Arabidopsis thaliana: one gene and its partners. The protein of the gene in region 4 purifies or fractionates together with the protein of the main gene of each other region. This does not show direct contact. Each region holds a gene or a part of one and is shown on either strand. Other genes may lie near its edges. The genes, in order: AT2G12200, THFS, AT2G12280 and GLYR2.

What was found.
Region 1: the proteins of GLYR2 (region 4) and AT2G12200 fractionate together in Arabidopsis thaliana (co-fractionation; one large-scale study listed by BioGRID). This does not show direct contact.
Region 2: the proteins of GLYR2 (region 4) and THFS fractionate together in Arabidopsis thaliana (co-fractionation; one large-scale study listed by BioGRID). This does not show direct contact.
Region 3: the proteins of GLYR2 (region 4) and AT2G12280 fractionate together in Arabidopsis thaliana (co-fractionation; one large-scale study listed by BioGRID). This does not show direct contact.

The regions. Positions count from the first base shown.
Region 1 is NC_003071.7:4,898,556-4,901,876, forward strand, and holds AT2G12200 (P-loop containing nucleoside triphosphate hydrolases superfamily protein), read left to right. Parts: upstream 1-2,057; 5' UTR 2,058-2,095; coding exon 2,096-2,260; intron 2,261-2,362; coding exon 2,363-2,389; downstream 2,390-3,321.
Region 2 is NC_003070.9:18,699,839-18,705,730, forward strand, and holds THFS (10-formyltetrahydrofolate synthetase), read left to right. Parts: upstream 1-2,043; 5' UTR 2,044-2,225; coding exon 2,226-2,381; intron 2,382-2,806; coding exon 2,807-2,956; intron 2,957-3,050; coding exon 3,051-4,226; intron 4,227-4,325; coding exon 4,326-4,472; intron 4,473-4,573; coding exon 4,574-4,849; 3' UTR 4,850-5,100; downstream 5,101-5,892. Other genes in the region: AT1G50470 (F-box associated ubiquitination effector family protein), read right to left, coding at 162-454, 534-606; UBC20 (ubiquitin-conjugating enzyme 20), read right to left, coding at 5,167-5,213, 5,313-5,372, 5,458-5,521, 5,616-5,843.
Region 3 is NC_003071.7:4,919,977-4,923,383, forward strand, and holds AT2G12280 (P-loop containing nucleoside triphosphate hydrolases superfamily protein), read left to right. Parts: upstream 1-2,305; 5' UTR 2,306-2,347; coding exon 2,348-2,620; 3' UTR 2,621-2,703; downstream 2,704-3,407.
Region 4 is NC_003070.9:6,068,724-6,074,296, reverse strand, and holds GLYR2 (glyoxylate reductase 2), read left to right. Parts: upstream 1-2,167; 5' UTR 2,168-2,332; coding exon 2,333-2,516; intron 2,517-2,611; exon of another isoform or gene 2,612-2,708; coding exon of another isoform or gene 2,709-2,715; coding exon 2,716-2,797; intron 2,798-2,914; coding exon 2,915-2,980; intron 2,981-3,093; coding exon 3,094-3,169; intron 3,170-3,256; coding exon 3,257-3,312; intron 3,313-3,499; coding exon 3,500-3,584; intron 3,585-3,677; coding exon 3,678-3,738; intron 3,739-3,900; coding exon 3,901-3,953; intron 3,954-4,041; coding exon 4,042-4,112; intron 4,113-4,194; coding exon 4,195-4,267; intron 4,268-4,343; coding exon 4,344-4,448; intron 4,449-4,538; coding exon 4,539-4,703; 3' UTR 4,704-4,873; downstream 4,874-5,573. Other genes in the region: AT1G17665 (CA-responsive protein), read left to right, coding at 1-424, 775-827, 1,029-1,116, 1,196-1,294, 1,535-1,662, 1,829-1,865; AT1G17640 (RNA-binding (RRM/RBD/RNP motifs) family protein), read left to right, coding at 5,199-5,395, 5,527-5,567. UniProt on the Arabidopsis thaliana protein: Catalyzes the NADPH-dependent reduction of glyoxylate to glycolate as well as succinic semialdehyde (SSA) to gamma-hydroxybutyrate in vitro.

The DNA of each region.
Region 1 (3,321 bases), on a different chromosome or scaffold from region 4:
GGAGGAACCATTACAACCCTATCATAACCTACATCGCTGCAAATATCTCTGACGATGTCATTCCTTTACTTCGTTTCCATGAGAACAATGATGTCTGGAGAGAATTTCTTCTTTATCTCCTTTAGACGTCGAACTGCGAGGTCATTGCCCAGTCCTCTGCAGTTCCAAGCGGCTGTCCTCATGGAGGAAGAGGGGGTTCTGGGCCCACCGCGCCTCTCCCCACGTCATTCGGCTGAACCGTCTCTCCGGAGCAACCACTGCTTTCCCCAGCCTCACGGATCACCATCTTAGAAGGCTCGTGTTCTTCATCTTCTTCGATGGTGTCCTCTCTCTTGCGTTTGCCCCTATCCGCTGCCACATCCTCACGAACATAGTCTCTGTTCACTCCATTATTTGTTTCCATCTCTCCATGGTACGTGGAGTAACGACATGGCTCCCAATCCTGGAAATCTTCCACGGCTTCATGATGGGCATTCATCACTAATGAGAGTTATTTTATTTATTATTGTCCACGTATTTATTTTGTTTTTAATGTATTTTTTTTTTTTTTTGCCTTTTACAGTTCCTAATCCAGATTTAAATCTGGATATAACCCTATAAATTATAAGATATACTCGTCCACATAATATTATCAAGTTTTTTAGTTTTTTAGAAAATAAAAATCTATTCTAAAATTTGAGAAAATCAAGTGAGATAATTTTGTGCCTCACAAGTCACGAGATTACTTAGCTCGGAAGGGTTTTGGGCTCTACGTGTGAAAGGCATAAGATATTTTAGTTACTTTTATGCTTTACAATTTACATTACTAGAGTACAAACAAAACAACAGCTATCATGGATTTTTATGACATCATCAATTTACGTGTGTCATTTGAGATTTATAATCTTTATTTTATTATCACTTCTATTTTGTTTTAATGAGTTCAAGATCTTTTCTTGAAAGACATATGAAGACTTTAACCCAAAAAGCTAAGTATTGTCTTTGATGAAACTTTGAAATCGAGAAGTTTTCAAAATTTTAAACGATGTCAACCAGTATTTTTTATTTATAAAACAGTATTTTTCTCTAAATATTTGACAAGATTTTTTTACCCCCGCATTAGCTAAAACCCATTTTCGTACATATGTTTACAAACAGTGTCCGCTCAACAATTTCATGGGTGTAGGATAATTTTTTTTTATATTTTGTTATAAAATTTTTTGTATGATAATTTAGTTAACAAAAAAAAAAAAAATGCATTAAAAAAATTATAGGTCCATTCTAAATTTTATTTTTGTGTTATATCTAATTTTTAAAAATATTTTTTAAAAAATATATGTCCCTTAATTGTTAAAACATGGGTTTGGATTCTTGGCTGTCGCACCGCTTGCCCCTCTATTTAAACCGGCACTGTTTACAAATTAAACATTATAGAAAATAATTCTTAAAAACCGGACTAAGTAATGAAAATTTTAAATTACAAAAACGAAGAATACTAGGAAGCTAGAACTAGGGAAGAAAACTTGAAGCACCACATTAGTCAAAGAGATCGAAGAAAGAAGCCATTCTCTAAGAAAATTTACCATTAAGATTGACTATGCACTTTATTTAAAACACTTGCCAATATATCTTTTTCAAAAGTTTTTTTTTCATAACTCATATTAAGACTTTCATCTTCAAATTAAAGGGGGATGAGCTTTCCGGATGATACTTAGACCTGAGTTGAGTCAAAATCGCATCTCCCTACAAACAAGTTCATCATAAACCAGTCGTAGGGTCCAAAGACTTTCACGATCCATTAAACTGACATCTTAGTGTTCAAAGATATTTTTCTTGGTGTTCTAAAACATATATCTTCTGAACATGGCTCAATTGTGACTCCTCTCAAGAAAATTTAAAGGACTTGGGGGAGGACTATATTATTATTTTTAGTTCCCCTTAAATATCCACATAATAATTACTGTTTGTTGTTTTCTTTTTAATTCAAACATACACCATTCCAAAGAGACCTTTGATAGTTTTCTTTACTAAAATATTATTGAAAATTACTTATAAGATTTATTATTAACATGTTTTAGATTGAAAATTGCTCATACAGGCACATAAACAGATTGAGATGTACACACAACAAGGCTTCTCGAATCTTCCCATATGCATGTCGAAAACGCAGTACTCATTCTCACATGATACATCAAAGAAAAGAGCACCTTCAGGGTTTGTATTGCCAATTCGGGATGTTAGAGGAAGCATTGGAGCTGGTTTCATATACACTACAAAAAAAGTCCTCATTGATAGCAGTAGAGGATAGCTCATTTTCCTCAACTGCTATAAAAGATGAATAAAATTTTTGGTTACTTTTTAATAGCACCTTATAAACGCTAAGACCGTAAATCCTCTAGCGGGAATGTAAAATACTTTAGTCCGCCAACACTTAGGTAAAATTATTCACTTCAGCGCCAACACTTAAGCAAAACTATTCACTTCCCTCTACAGCTTCGTGAAAACCTAAGAAAATCGAGAAGACCAAAATTATTCACTTTTGCCTTAGATCTGTCGAATCCACTCCCAAAATCGATTCAACCTAAAAGCTAAGATCTGTCGCTGGCCAGAAATTCGGATTCTCCGCCGCCACATTCTCCAGCTCAGCCACCGTTGAGCTCAAATTCAAGGTTAGTCTTTCTTCCTTATTCCTTATTAATCCATTTCAGCTTCCATCTTTCTCGCATTTTGACCTAATCTCATAGAATCGACTTTCATTTTGCAGCCACCAGTGAGCTCTAACCTTGTCGCAGCCACCAGTGAGCTCTAACCTTGTCGCAGCCACCACTGAGCTCAAAATCAAGGCATGTCTTACTCTCAATTTGACCTAGTTCTTTGTGACGATTTGATTTTGGGGTTTATATGCATCGATTTGTTATATTTAGGGCAATGTGATTTGAATGGAATTAGGAAGTGAAACTTTTCTTTTTTCTTATACTGATTATCGTTTTGGGGTTTATATGCATCGATTTGTGATTTGATTTAGAGTTCTTAAACGTTTTGCTTCAACTTATACTCATAATCGTTTTTTTTTATCAAGTGTTGGTGATTGCAATGTCGAGGAAGTGAAACTTTTCTTCTTCTATTCACACGACTACAGGTTAGTCACACGACAGATTCAATTGTTCTGTTCTTTACTTATGAGTTGTATGAACTTAAGTTGTTGTGATTCTTTTGTTCTGTTCTTTACTGAAGTTGATGTGATTGTTGTCGATTGGTTTTATTGGCTGAGATAGTGTAATTTGTTGGTCCTTAAACATGTGTCTTTGAATTAATCTGAGATAGTATACTGTCGATTGTGTT
Region 2 (5,892 bases), about 13 Mb from region 4:
CTCTGGACTAGTCAAATTAAATCTTGTTATGTTTTTTTTTATTAGATCCAGAAGATGTGAATAAAACATTTAAGATGATAATATATACAAAATGATCAATGTCCAACAGGATATTACATATTGTTGGATTTAAATCAATCTTTGAACATACGTAAACACACTTAACCGACCATCAAAGCTACCGAAACCAGAAGATCGATATACCTTGTGTATTTATCTTCTCCAACAATGTATATCTTGTTGTATATGACTTTCTCACCGCAAACAGCAACTTTCTTCTCTTCGTCAATGTGGAAACTTAGGGAACTCGAAAACAAACAACCATGGGGTTTTAAATCCACTGTCTCAATCTCATTGGTCACCCTTATATCCATCTTTAGTTTCTTTGCACTCTGATATAATAAGGAGAGATGTTCTTCTCTAACAACTGAGAGAGCCTTAATATCATTTACTTCTGCAGCTTCTTGATGAAAGGGCACACATAGTAGTTGAAACCTCTCTGTTGAAAAAAACAAAACTGAGCAATGAGTAACCATTTCCCTTCAACGACTTGCCAGTGGATACTAAGTCGTCTTCGGGAGAGACGACATCAAGAAACTCCTCCATAAATTAGAGCTAAAATCATAGACTTCCAAGCATATATCTATAAACCTCAAGATTTTGTAGTTATGGCACAAGTCCTTGTTATTGTAACCGAGAGCATAGACCTCGAATATCTTGTCATGACGATTTATCGGTTGGATCCATATGGTTTTCTTCTAGAATGGGTCCCAAACCACAATGGTAGGTTCAAAGAAACTATCTTAACAAAAATGTCCTCCAATGGTAGGTTCTCAAGAAAAAAAAAATCAAATTTTTGCAAGACAATATCTTTCAATACAAATACAAGTATTCATACAACCAAACTCATACAAGTTTTGGTATCTATCACTTTCATTAAACTTGTCTCTTGCATGCTGCTTCTCTTCTTCTTCTCAATATCACTTTTCACTAAACCTACCACTTTCCCTAAATTTGTGTTTGACACACTTTCCCGGAAAAAGATTTCTGCAAAAAAGGTTTCAGCATCATTGATAGCATCGAGCTCCTCCTTTGGAATAGCCCTTTTCTGTTTATTATTCTCAGCAGCATCATCATATCATTGTTATTTGGGATTTTCTTCTCTTTATGTTCTTCTTTCTTTTCTGTTTCAACTTGATCTACTACATTTGTATTGCTTTTAAACTACGTTATCTATCACACAATAAGAATGTCAAACCCATCCTAAATCAAAATTCTGATTCTCTTTGGTTGCATCCATTTTATCTTCTTTAGGAAATGGATGGATAACTTTATATTAAATGACGTCGTTTCTTTGCCTCATTTTGGGTCAGAAAATGCTAAAGCTGTAAGCCCATTTTATGTTAATGGACTAATATGACATCGATTTCACTATGTAAGATACGCAAAGAAGGCTTAGTCCTAGACATATTCCATAGGGCTTTTATATAGATTGCTTAAAATATATATTGCTTCAAGGTTACTGATTCATCAATAGTTGACCCTCTCGTGCCTCTTCAATTCTAAGTCTAAAACTCTATACACCATATCTGTCGAGAGGAAAAATTGGCACCATTTATCAAGACACCTCGGAATCCGTTCACCCCAATACATTATACATGTTGACAAAAACTATCATCGTTGTATAATAAAATAGTATTGGTGCAATGAAAATGATGGTTTAAATGAAAAGAAATGTGGCTTCCTGTAAATCTATAGAAACTGTATTGGAATAGTTCAAAAACAACAGTATTTTATTAAAAATAACAAATTTAATAGTACAGTCTTAAGAAGTATTATGTAAAGATTAAAGAAAATTGGTAGCCTAACAAATCCGAGTTCCATTCTCTTTTCTAGTATAGTACTAGTTTAAATTGACGACAACAGTGGGCCAAACTAAACTATAGTGGCTGCGCTTATAGATCGAGGGCGAAACCGTCATTTTCTGGCCTTCAATAATTATGTGTGTTGAAAATATATTTATTAAGAGGTGAAAAAGAGGGAAAAAAACAAAAACGTCATCGTTCTCATTGGTTAATATGGATAATGATCTAAACATGTATTTGCTACTTACTGTAATATATTAGGATGTGCTTTAAAGTTTTATAAAACATCATCAATTCATCAGAGTCCCTCATCCATCTTCTCATCCTCCAACGCGAGATCAGACTTCGACAGAGAGTGCGATGAGTTCATCAACAAGAAAGCTTGAGGTTGTTTCACCAGTTCCCGCCGATATCGACATAGCTAATTCCGTCGAGCCTTTACACATCTCTGAGATTGCCAAAGATCTTAATATCAACCCTCTTCACTACGATCTCTATGGCAAGTATAAAGCTAAGGTAATCATCATTTTTCCCTTTTGTTCATTTCCCTTTGAAAATTAAATTATTCATCTGAATCTTCCTCTGTCTCTATGTTGTTGTCGGTACAAGGATCCAAAAGAACTCCGTTTTTGGTTATAAGATACTATTATGTTCGAATTGGTTTCGATCAAACTTAAATAAATTTTCAAGAGATTGTTAATGATTGAGTTTTTGGAGCTTGAGTAGGCAGTTACGTAAGCTCAAAGTTTATAACTTTCGATTGATTTTGGATTCATATTACCATTTTCCTACCAAGTAGCTCTCTTTTCTTGTTAATTTGCTGTTACTTCTTTTTTGTCGGTGGGCAAGATTGATACTTTAGTTTCACCAAAAACATCAGAAGCTGGTTAAACCAATGGTTCAGTGTTCTGAGCTAATCAACTGATGATTTGTTCTTGTAGGTTTTGTTGTCTGCGTTTGATGAGCTTCAAGGACAAGAAGATGGATACTATGTTGTTGTTGGAGGGATTACTCCTACTCCTCTTGGAGAAGGCAAGAGTACTACCACTGTTGGACTTTGCCAAGCCTTAGGCGCTTACCTCGATAAGAAGGTTCTCTCTTGCTTTCATTTATTAGCTTATGCCTTATGCTTGCTTTTGGACAAACTTCTCTCTTTGTATTGATTTGTGAAGTGTTGTTGCTTAGGTTGTTACTTGTCTTCGCCAACCGTCACAAGGACCCACCTTTGGAATCAAAGGAGGTGCAGCTGGTGGTGGGTATAGTCAGGTGATTCCTATGGATGAGTTCAATCTTCATCTCACTGGAGATATTCACGCGATTACCGCTTCCAACAACCTCTTAGCTGCTGCAATCGACACTCGGATTTTCCATGAGACGTCTCAATCCGACAAGGCTCTTTTTAATAGGCTGTGCCCTCCGAATAAAGAAGGGAAGCGTAGTTTCAGTGACATTATGTTCAGGAGATTGACAAAGCTTGGGATATCCAAGACCAGTCCTGAGGAGCTTACTCCCGAGGAGATAAAGAAGTTTGCGAGGCTTGATATTGATCCTGCTTCTATCACTTGGAGAAGAGTGATGGATGTTAATGATCGGTTCTTGAGGAAGATTACTATTGGTCAGGGACCTGAGGAAAAGGGGATGACTAGAGAAACTGGTTTTGACATTTCTGTTGCTAGTGAGATTATGGCTGTTTTGGCTTTGACAACCTCACTAGGTGATATGAGAGAGAGGCTTGGTAAAATGGTGATTGGTAACAGCAAGGCAGGGGATCCGATAACAGCAGATGATCTCGGTGTTGGAGGAGCCTTGACTGTTCTGATGAAAGACGCTATTAACCCGACACTCATGCAGACACTGGAAGGGACCCCTGTTCTAGTGCATGCTGGTCCTTTTGCAAATATAGCTCATGGAAATTCATCGATTGTTGCTGATAAAATCGCTTTGAAGCTGGTGGGACCTGGTGGATTTGTGGTAACTGAAGCGGGTTTTGGTTCTGATATTGGAACAGAGAAGTTCATGAATATTAAGTGCCGTTACAGTGGGCTAACGCCTCAGTGTGCAATTGTTGTGGCGACTGTTAGGGCTTTGAAAATGCATGGAGGTGGGCCTGATGTTGTTGCCGGGAGACCTCTTGATCGTGCTTATGTAAGCGAGAATGTTTCCTTAGTTGAAGCTGGCTGTGTGAATCTGGCAAAGCACATCTCAAACACAAAGGCCTACGGTGTGAATGTAATTGTTGCTGTGAATATGTTCGCAACAGATACCGAAGCAGAACTAAATGCAGTTAGGAAATTTTCAATGGATGCCGGTGCTTTTGATGCTGTGGTCTGCTCCCACCATGCTCATAGTGGTAAAGGAGCGGTAATCTTCTCTATTCGAGACCAACACTATGTGATTATATGCAATTTTGTTTGCAATCTCATCTTATTGATAGATGAATTGTTCTTGTAAATGTTATAGGTGGATCTTGGTATCGCGGTTGAAAAAGCTTGTCAAAACATTACACAGCCCCTCAGGTTTCTCTACCCATTGGACATTGGTATCAAAGACAAAATTGAGGCAATAGCTAAGTCATATGGAGCCAGTGGTGTTGAATATTCAGACCAGGTGATTGATTCCTAGACCGACTTCTTCAATTTCTTTGCATTGTTGTCAAAAGAAACCTGTTTATGTAACTTATCTATTATCCTGTGATATGTAAAATACAGGCAGAGAAACAGATTGAGATGTACACACAACAAGGCTTCTCGAATCTTCCCATATGCATGTCGAAAACACAGTACTCATTCTCACATGATGCATCAAAGAAAGGAGCACCTTCAGGGTTTGTATTGCCAATTAGGGATGTAAGAGGAAGCATTGGAGCTGGTTTCATATATCCACTGGTTGGTACAATGAGTACAATGCCTGGACTTCCTACAAGACCTTGTTTCTACGAGATTGATATTGACACTGAAACTGGAAAAGTTCGTGGCCTTTCTTAAGTTTGGTAGATCTGTCAAAGCTTCAAGGCTTTCCTTCATCGTCGTTTCTCACTTCCACAATAAAAATTTGGCGATTGTACTTTGATACTGAGTGTTTTTCCATTTTAAGATGAATAATAATAAAGTATCTTTTCCTTTTGATTAATCTCTGAAATACTACTCATTATTTGAACTCAAGGTAACGTTACAGATAGAACTTCTGATGTTCAAAAACAAAGAATAAAGCAAATGAATGACAGTGTTTTCTTCTGAAAAATCGTTTTATGTGAAATCATCAGAGGCATTGGAGATTTATGAATCAGAACAGCTTGCAGAAATCATGCACTTGGAGGCTTGTAAAGCTTCTCAACCATCTTCCTGTACTCTGCGTATGGAGAAACAAAAGAGACATAAGAAACTCATAACTGTGGTACTCTAAAGAAGTTTGATTTCATAACGACTGTTAAATCCCCTGTCTGTTTACCTTCTTGGTTACTCCAAAGCTGAGCTGCTTGAGTGTTCAATGGTGAACTGATGTTCGGTTCTGATCAACGAAAACATGTATCAGATATTGGATTAACCAACAAAAAGGGCTAACAAGAAATCAAAAGTTATGCACCATAGAATACCTCCCAGGAGGCTCTGAATCGATAGTAGTATCGTCCTCACATCGTAAGCAGATGACCACTTATCCTGCAAATATGAAAATGTTGTAAACGGATTAACTTTGGCACGTCTTCTCTGATTCAGTGTAGAACAAAGACACAAGAGGAAGGTATATTTTTACCTGAAGAATGTCTAAGCAGATATTGCCATAGACATCAACATTGGGGTGGAAGCAACATGTCTCAAACTTAACCTTTGGAGGCTTGAAAGGATAGTCATTGGAGAAAGAGAGTGAGAGTCTGTACTCAGTTCCTTCAAACACAGTATCTTTGCTTCCTGTTATTGTCCCTTTCCAGCAGAATATGTTGTCTTCCTCAGGGAAAGCCGATATTCCTGGACCACCGCCCATCTGAAAACAACCAAGTCAAGAACCCTATGAGCAAATCTTTACTATAGAA
Region 3 (3,407 bases), on a different chromosome or scaffold from region 4:
CATGGTTGCCTCGTATTTCATTGAAGTCCCCTATAGCCATCCAAGGACCTGTTCTTTGTGTTGCTGTTCGTTCTAATCTTTCCCAAACCAAGTGTCTATGGATAGGATTTGGGTGACCATATACACAAGATAAATAGAACCCAAATCCATTAATATTAACAAAAGTATTTACAAGGTTTGGGGATTGATAAAGAACAGAATACAGAAATACTACTTTTCCACATTAAAGCAATTCCACCACTTAGATCATTTGGAGGAACCATTACAACCCTATCATAACCTACATCGCTGCAAATATCTCTGACGATGTCATTCTTTTACTTCGTTTCCATGAGAACAATGATGTCTGGAGAGAATTTCTTCTTTATCTCCTTTAGACGTCGAACTGCGAGGTCATTGCCCAGTCCTCTACAGTTCCAAGCGGCTGTCCTCATGGAGGAAGAGGGGGTTCTGGGCCCACCGCGCTTCTCCCCACGTCATTCGGCTGAACCGTCTCTCCGGAGCAACCACTGCTTTCCCCAGCCTCATGGATCACCATCTTAGAAGGCTCGTGTTCTTCATCTTCTTCGATGGTGTCCTCTCTCTTGTGTTTGCCCCTATCCGCTGCCACATCCTCACGAACATAGTCTCTGTTCACTCCATTATTTGTTTTCATCTCTCCATGGTACGTGGAGTAACGACATGGCTCCCAATCCTGGAAATCTTCCACGGCTTCATGATGGGCATTCATCACTAATGAGAGTTATTTTATTTATTATTGTCCACGTATTTATTTTGTTTTTAATGTATTTTTTTTTTTTTTGCCTTTTACAGTTCCTAATCCAGATTTAAATCTGGATATAACCCTATAAATTATAAGATATACTCGTCCACATAATATTATCAAGTTTTTTAGTTTTTTAGAAAATAAAAATCTATTCTAAAATTAGAGAGAAAATCAAGTGAGACAATTTTGTGCCTCACAAGTCACGAGATTACTTAGCTCGGAAGGGTTTTGGGCTCTACGTGTGAAAGGCATAAGATATTTTAGTTACTTTTATGCTTTACAATTTACATTACTAGAGTACAAACAAAACAACAGCTATCATGGATTTTTATGACATCATCAATTTACGTGTGTCATTTGAGATTTATAATCTTTACTTTATTATCACTTCTATTTTGTTTTAATGAGTTCAAGATCTTTTCTTGAAAGACATATGAAGACTTTAACCCAAAAAGCTAAGTATTGTCTTTGATGAAACTTTGAAATCGAGAAGTTTTCAAAATTTTAAACGATGTCAACCAGTATTTTTTATTTATAAAACAGTATTTTTCTCTAAATATTTGACAAGATTTTTTTACCCCCGCATTAGCTAAAACCCATTTTCGTACATATGTTTACAAACAATGTCCGCTCAACAATTTCATGGGTGTAGGATAATTTTTTTTTATATTTTGTTATAAAATTTTTTGTATGATAATTTAGTTAACAAAAAAAAAAACAATGCATTAAAAAAATTATAGGTCCATTCTAAATTTTATTTTTGTGTTATATCTAATTTTTAAAAATATTTTTAAAAAAATATATGTCCCTTAATTGTTAAAACATGGGTTTGGATTCTTGGCTGTCGCACCGCTTACCCCTCTATTTAAACCGGCACTGTTTACAAATTAAACATTATAGAAAATAATTCTTAAAAACCGGACTAAGTAATGAAAATTTTAAATTACAAAAATGAAGAATACTAGGAAGCGAGAACTAGGGAAGAAAACTTGAAGCACCACATTAGTCAAAGAGATCGAAGAAAGAAGCCATTCTCTAAGAAAATTTACCATTAAGATTGACTATGCACTTTATTTAAAACACTTGCCAATATATCTTTTTCAAAAGTTTTTTTTTCATAACTCATATTAAGACTTTCATCTTCAAATTAAAGGGGGATGAGCTTTCCGGATGATACTTAGACCTGAGTTGAGTCAAAATCGCATCTCCCTACAAACAAGTTCATCATAAACCAGTCGTAGGGTCCAAAGACTTTCACGATCCATTAAACTGACATCTTAGTGTTTAAAGACATTTTTCTTGGTGTTCTAAAACATATATCTTCTGAACATGGCTCAATTGTGACTCCTCTCAAGAAAATTTAAAGGACTTGGGGAGGACTATATTATTATTTTTAGTTCCCCTTAAATATCCACATAATAATTACTGTTTGTTGTTTTCTTTTTAATTCAAACATACACCATTCCAAAGAGACCTTTGATAGTTTTCTTTACTAAAATATTATTGAAAATTACTTATAAGATTTATTATTAACATGTTTTAGATTGAAAATTGCTCATACAGGCACATAAACAGATTGAGATGTACACACAACAAGGCTTCTCGAATCTTCCCATATGCATGTCGAAAACGCAGTACTCATTCTCACATGATGCATCAAAGAAAGGAGCACCTTCAGGGTTTGTATTGCCAATTCGGGATGTTAGAGGAAGCATTGGAGCTGGTTTCATATATCCACTGGTTGGTACAATGAGTACAATGCCTGGACTTCCTACAAGACCTTGTTTCTATGAGATTGATATCAGTCAAAGCTTCAAGGCTTCCCTTCACCGTCGTTCCTCACTTCCTCAATAAAAATTTGGCGATTGTACTTTGATACTGAGTGTTTTTCCTCTTTGAAATGAATAATAATAAAGTATCTTTTCCTGTTGATTAATTAATCTCTGAAATACTCATTATTTGAAGTTGAACTCAAGGTAACGTTACACATAGAACTTGTGATGTTCAAAAACAAAGCATAAAGCAAATGAGTGACAATGTTTTCTTTTGAAAAATCGTTTTATGTGAAATCATCAGAGGCATTGGAGATTTATGAATCAGAACATCTTGCAGAAATCATGCACTGAGAGGCACAAATTGGATGCCATGCCGAAATGAGGGCATCTCGATTCACGTATTGTGGGCCGAATAGTAAGGCCCATGGAAGATTAAAGTCAATTCAAATTCGAACGTTGAAAGCATTAAATCCAAAGACGGAAACGGAAGAGTTAAAAGAGAATTATGGTGTATAATTAAGAATAATTACTAGGTTTTTGTATAAATAAGAGAGGTCTTGGACCATGTAAGACACCCACAATTTTTCTAGCAATTTTCGATAGTCATTTTGATATCAATTTTTAGCTTTTACATTTTATCTTTGTCCTCAAAAATTAATCCATCTCACAAAACAAATAAATACTTGAGCGTGTGAATCCGACATCCACAACACTTTTGCCTGAAAAAATAATTAACATAAATGTAAAGTATCCTAACTTTCCCATTTTAAATAATATTGTTTATTCAAACTATCTTTAAAAAGTTTTGACAAATATACACCCAAAAGTATATTTTTGAAAAATCTAAAGTTGTAAGGTAATAAGGT
Region 4 (5,573 bases):
CCAACCAGAATCGTCTCTATCGGAGATTTCCGACGAAGCCCAGTACCAAACCCATGAAAATGAACCGACCCATTTGACGAATTCGCGACTCTATGAGTTACTGCTCTCCGATAAGAAGGAGGATGATTCGGATTGGGAAGGAGATCATGTGAAAAAGAAGAAGAAGAAGAAGAAGAATCGAGGTAAGAAGAAGAAATCAGACATAAGAGGAGATGAATCCGGCGGCGAAAAGCAGCTCGGTGAGGGAGAAGATGGGCTTGTTTTGAATCCGAGGACAGACTCGATTTCGATATCGGAAAACAAACCGGAGTTTGTTTGTTTATATCCTTTTACATCGACGAGCAGTGCTACGCAGAGGAAGATTAAGCAGCAATACGATCAGCTTGTTAAATGCAATAATGCCAAAGGATTGACACTAGCTCAGGTCACCTTCTTTACCTTCGGTTATTAACTATTTATGGAAATCAAAATTGGAAAACGTGAATTTGAAACATAAATCCAAGTCTATTAAGCCTGTGATTTCCTTAATTAGCATCCTAAAACCTCTATGTGGTTTATATACCTTTGTGGTGTTTGTTCAATAGCCTATACTAAACTCAGTTGATAAACTAAATGATTTTTGAGTTGGGAGGTTTCAATACTTAATCATCAGCTAAGCTTGCTTCCTTTTGATATATCAGAATGATTTACTTCAATCTAAACTTTGGATTACTATAAAATTCTGCCCAGTTGAGTTTTAGATTCTGATGTTTTCTGGGTTCTTCACTTCTGTAGGTTGGGGAGTTTGCTAATTGTTTGATAGAAGCCAAAAATGAACTACAACACAAGTAAGTTAACACTACCATAACATAATATCATATACTCTCATCCATTTTCTTAGTTCTTCCTACATTTTGAGGACACAGGAATTACAAATAGTTGCTTCCTGTTCTATGCTTTGTTATGTTGATGGTGTGACATGTTGCTTTACTGAGTTAGCCTTTTCTTCTCCGGTGACACTGATTTAAGCCTGATTGTGTCTACTGTAGGTCAGAAGTAATCAAGCGCAAGTTTTCAATAACAAAAGCCCTTCTCTTTAAGGCTGATAGATCTTCCTTTGACCGACTTCGTCAACAGGTGAATTTAGCTTCATCAATTGATTGTCTGATTTTTATCCGTTTGTTGCTTTTGAAGTTAATTGTTTGTGTGTCATCAGATCTATAAGCTGGAGATGGAACAAAAAAGAGTAGAAGAAGATGCACTTGTATATAATTGGCTCCAGCAACAGCTTAAACTCTCACCTGCATACAAAAAGGTTAAAAACCAAACTCAATCACTTGTTTCCAAAGATTGTGTCCTATGTGTCCAAAACCTCAAAAATCTGTTCAATGATGTTTCTGATTCTAGATTAATCTTACTGATTGTTGTTGCTGTCTGATAAACCAGTAGAGTCTTATCTCCTGTATTGGACTCTGTTAGCATAATTGGGACTTCCCTTGAGATTTTTGGTTATCTCTAGTTAAAGCCGTTAATACTCTTTATGATACTACTATAGGTTCTTGAAATAAGCGCTTCCATGGAACTCAAAGACAAATCGAGCACAGAGTTAGACAATCCAGATGATGAATTTTCAGACATTTCCTTCGAAGAGCTATTGGAACAGGAAAAGAAAGACTCGTTTTGGTCAGCATTTCTCTCCATCTCTCCTCAAGCTTATTAGTAAATCTAAATTACTTGCTCATATGAATCTTGCTCCATGTATAGGCCTTTTTGAGTATTTCCGCAATCTTTCTTCATATTGCTTATCCTCTATAACCATCTTACTCTCCACTCTTGTGTTGGTTTTCAGGCATAAAAATGGAAGATTGCGAACTTGCAGAACATGATTTGGTGATTGAAACTGCCGTGAGCTCAGCAGGAAAACTGAATCCTTTTTTGATGTTCTCCTATTTTTGGTGCTGTGTATAGAGAGTTTCCTCCATAGGGATGCGTTTTCTATATAACACATTACCCGGTTTTCAAATCGATTTTTTCAGTTCGGTTTGAATCAAACTGATTCGGTTTATCTGAATTGAGCAAAGTCCAAACGTGCATGAGTATCGTACATAGTGAGGCTTTTTTCGAGAAAAAACACTGTTGATAAAAATATACAAACACAAGCATCATGACTCATGGGGGATAAATGCACTTGAACCGACCGGTACAATTATATCTGCTTGTGAATTAGCTTTAAACCGAAGCATATGCAACGCGGCCAGTGGATTTTGTTCCTCAGTAAAAATCTGTCAGTTTCCGCCTCGAAATGTGAGAATTTCGGCCACAGTCTACTAAACAAACGCACTGGCCAGTGGCTATGCCTTTGGTTTCATTATCTTTTGCTTCATCTTCTTCAAAAGCCATGGCTTTGTGCTCTATCTGTCCTCGCATCCCTCTTCGATTCAGGCCAAAACCCATTTCCCCTTTTCTCTCAAAACCTCAAATTTGTCTCGCTTACAGGGTTTACTCTTCCCTGCAATCTACTACTCCCTCTACCAGAGGTAATTTCTTGCTTTGTATTATGCATACACTGGTTTTCCAGAACTATGAATTACGTTTAAATGGATTAAATTATGAAGTGTCGCTCTCTTTTTAGGACAAAACCCACAAGTTTCGAGAAAGATGATCGAATACTATAATCTCCTTATCTTTATCCTTTTTGGGGTAGTCTTATCTGAGGAATTGTGGTTCGTATGGCAGATGAACTTGGAACTGTTAGCATTGGGTTTCTGGGTATGGGAATCATGGGTTCTCCAATGGCACAGAACCTCATCAAAGCTGGGTAAAAAAGTTTTGATTTTTATGTGTAGACAATCTAATTCACATCAATTTTGCTACTTTACCTCTTTTTGATGTATTGATGATACTTACGTTGATCTTTCTGGGGCTTGGTTGTTAGGTGTGATGTGACTGTATGGAATCGAACTAAGAGCAAATGTGATCCTCTCGTTGGATTAGGAGCAAAGTAAGAGTTCCAATGCTTCTTATAAAGAATGATATTATTTACTCCGAGTGAGGTTTTAGAGCTAACGTAGAAGAAAAATTTAACGATTAAGAAAGTATCTCCCTTTGTTGCAGGTACAAGTCTTCTCCTGAAGAAGTGACTGCAACTTGTGATCTCACATTTGCAATGCTTGCTGATCCTGAAAGTGCAGTGCGTATGTCTCACTTTTGTTTGCGTCTCTTTTTCTTCTACTTTCACTCCATATTAAAACAAAAACTGTATTTTGCTTTCTGTCAGATTGATGTTGCATGTGGAAAGAATGGAGCCATATTTGGGATTAGTTCAGGAAAAGGGTACTTACTCCTTCATGAGACTTATGCTGGATATAACGTTCTATTGCTGAAATGTTTCAAGATATCTGTATTTCTTATGTAACTACAGAAGAGTTCACAGTCGTTCTTTTTTAATTTCTTCTTCGAATCTATATAGTAATGTGGTCGATACTTTCTGGTAAAAATGGGACTTGCCTTGCTACTGCAGGTATGTTGATGTCTCAACCGTTGATGTGGCCTCATCAATACTAATCAGCAAGCAAATAAAGGATACCGGAGCCTTGTTCTTGGAGGTAAAGGCTCTTAGTTAATCTATATCTAGAATCACTAAAAAACCTTGTAACAGATCTGGTGGCTTAAGTCATTTCTATTTTTGATATTCATAGGCACCAGTTTCAGGTTCCAAAAAGCCTGCCGAAGATGGGCAGTTAATATTTCTCACTGCAGGTTCGTAACAGCTTACTCCTCATTGAGCTTGTATTAATAATCGATCATCACTTTTGCATATCAGATTATTTTGTCTTCGCGGGTGACTTGCCTGTATTTTCTAACATGGTTGAATCATGAATGAAATGGAGATTTATGACTATCTGGCACTTGACATTTTAGGTGACAAGCCGCTATACGAAAAAGCTGCTCCTTTCTTAGACATCATGGGAAAGGTATCTCTTTTGCCTGTGTTTTGCTTTTAGTTCTTTTTTCTTCTGCAAATGAACCATTTTCGTTACTAGTTTGCATTATATGATCCAGTCAAAATTCTATTTGGGTGAAGTTGGTAATGGAGCAGCAATGAAACTTGTCGTCAACATGATCATGGGAAGGTATCATTTGACCATCTATCGCTTCATTTCTTGGCAAATTCCAGATTCTTCTTCTGATCTCTTTTTCTCTTTACCTATGCAGTATGATGGCATCATTCGCGGAGGGAATACTTCTAAGCCAGAAAGTTGGACTCGATCCAAATGTACTTGTCGAGGTAACTAAAACACCATTGTCCAGCAGAAAGTTTCTTACCAAATGTGCTATAAACCCCGGGAAATTTTTTTCTGCAGGTTGTCTCACAGGGAGCTATCAATGCGCCAATGTACTCACTAAAGGGTCCTTCAATGATCAAGTCAGTGTACCCGACGGCTTTTCCATTAAAGCATCAGCAGAAGGTTTGTGTAATTGTGTTACTTTCTTTTTTTAGATTCTCACAAAGACTCTGGAGTTTGATGAGACTGTAATTGACTTTTATCCGTCTATAGGATATGAGACTCGCACTTGGACTAGCGGAATCCGTATCGCAATCTACTCCGATTGCAGCCGCTGCGAACGAGCTTTACAAGGTTGCAAAATCTTATGGGTTGAGCGATGAAGATTTCTCTGCAGTAATTGAAGCACTAAAAGCTGCAAAATCCCGAGAAGCTTAGCTAAAGATTTGTTCAATGTGAAAATGTGTTTTTTTTTGCTGTTGTATGAAAAATTTCATCTTTACAACATGTCAATTGATAATTGTTAATTTTATATGAGAGCAAGTTAAAAGTGTCAAACACAAGTCAACCTTTGATCTCCTGATGTTGACAAAAGCAACAAAGAAAAGTGTTTGACCAACGTTGACTACAATAAATACGGCGCCGTTTCGGATATTCCGATGATAAGTTGATAACACCGAATCATTTGTTTCAAAAAATTCTTCAGTGCCTGAAGTGTTAAAATTCTCGCCTGAGCTCGTTGCCGTTTCCACTTCAACCATATTGGTTAGGGTTCTTTCTCTTCCAAGATAAGAAATTTTGAATGTTTGATGTCATAACTTTGAATCAAGTAATCGAAATTGGAGAAAAAAAATTCATTTTTTAAGTTTGGGTTTTCATCATAGACAGACGGAGAAATTAAAAGGTTTTGTTTTGACTCAGCTGCAGTGATCGATGGATTATAACTCAGATCGTGGTTATGATGACTCTTACCATCATCACGTACACGACGAACAATTACCACAATCGGATTTTGAAGTGGAGACCTTTGATGACCGGAGGAACGGTGGTGCAGCCGTTGATACTGGTGGGATTCAGATGAAGCATTCCGTTGACCATCGCCATTCTTCTTCGTCCATGTCTTCTCCTGGGTTCGTGGTTTCTTAGGCTTTATCTTTTTGTATGGATTTACTTTTGATATTAATCTCTTCTCAGCGGAGCTGGTTATTAAGATATTGATGGGGAGGTTTCTTGTGGTGCCTTTTGTCTTTGTTTATGTTAGGAAACTGTTCGTAGGTGGAGTTTCTTGGGAAACAACTGCAGGTATGG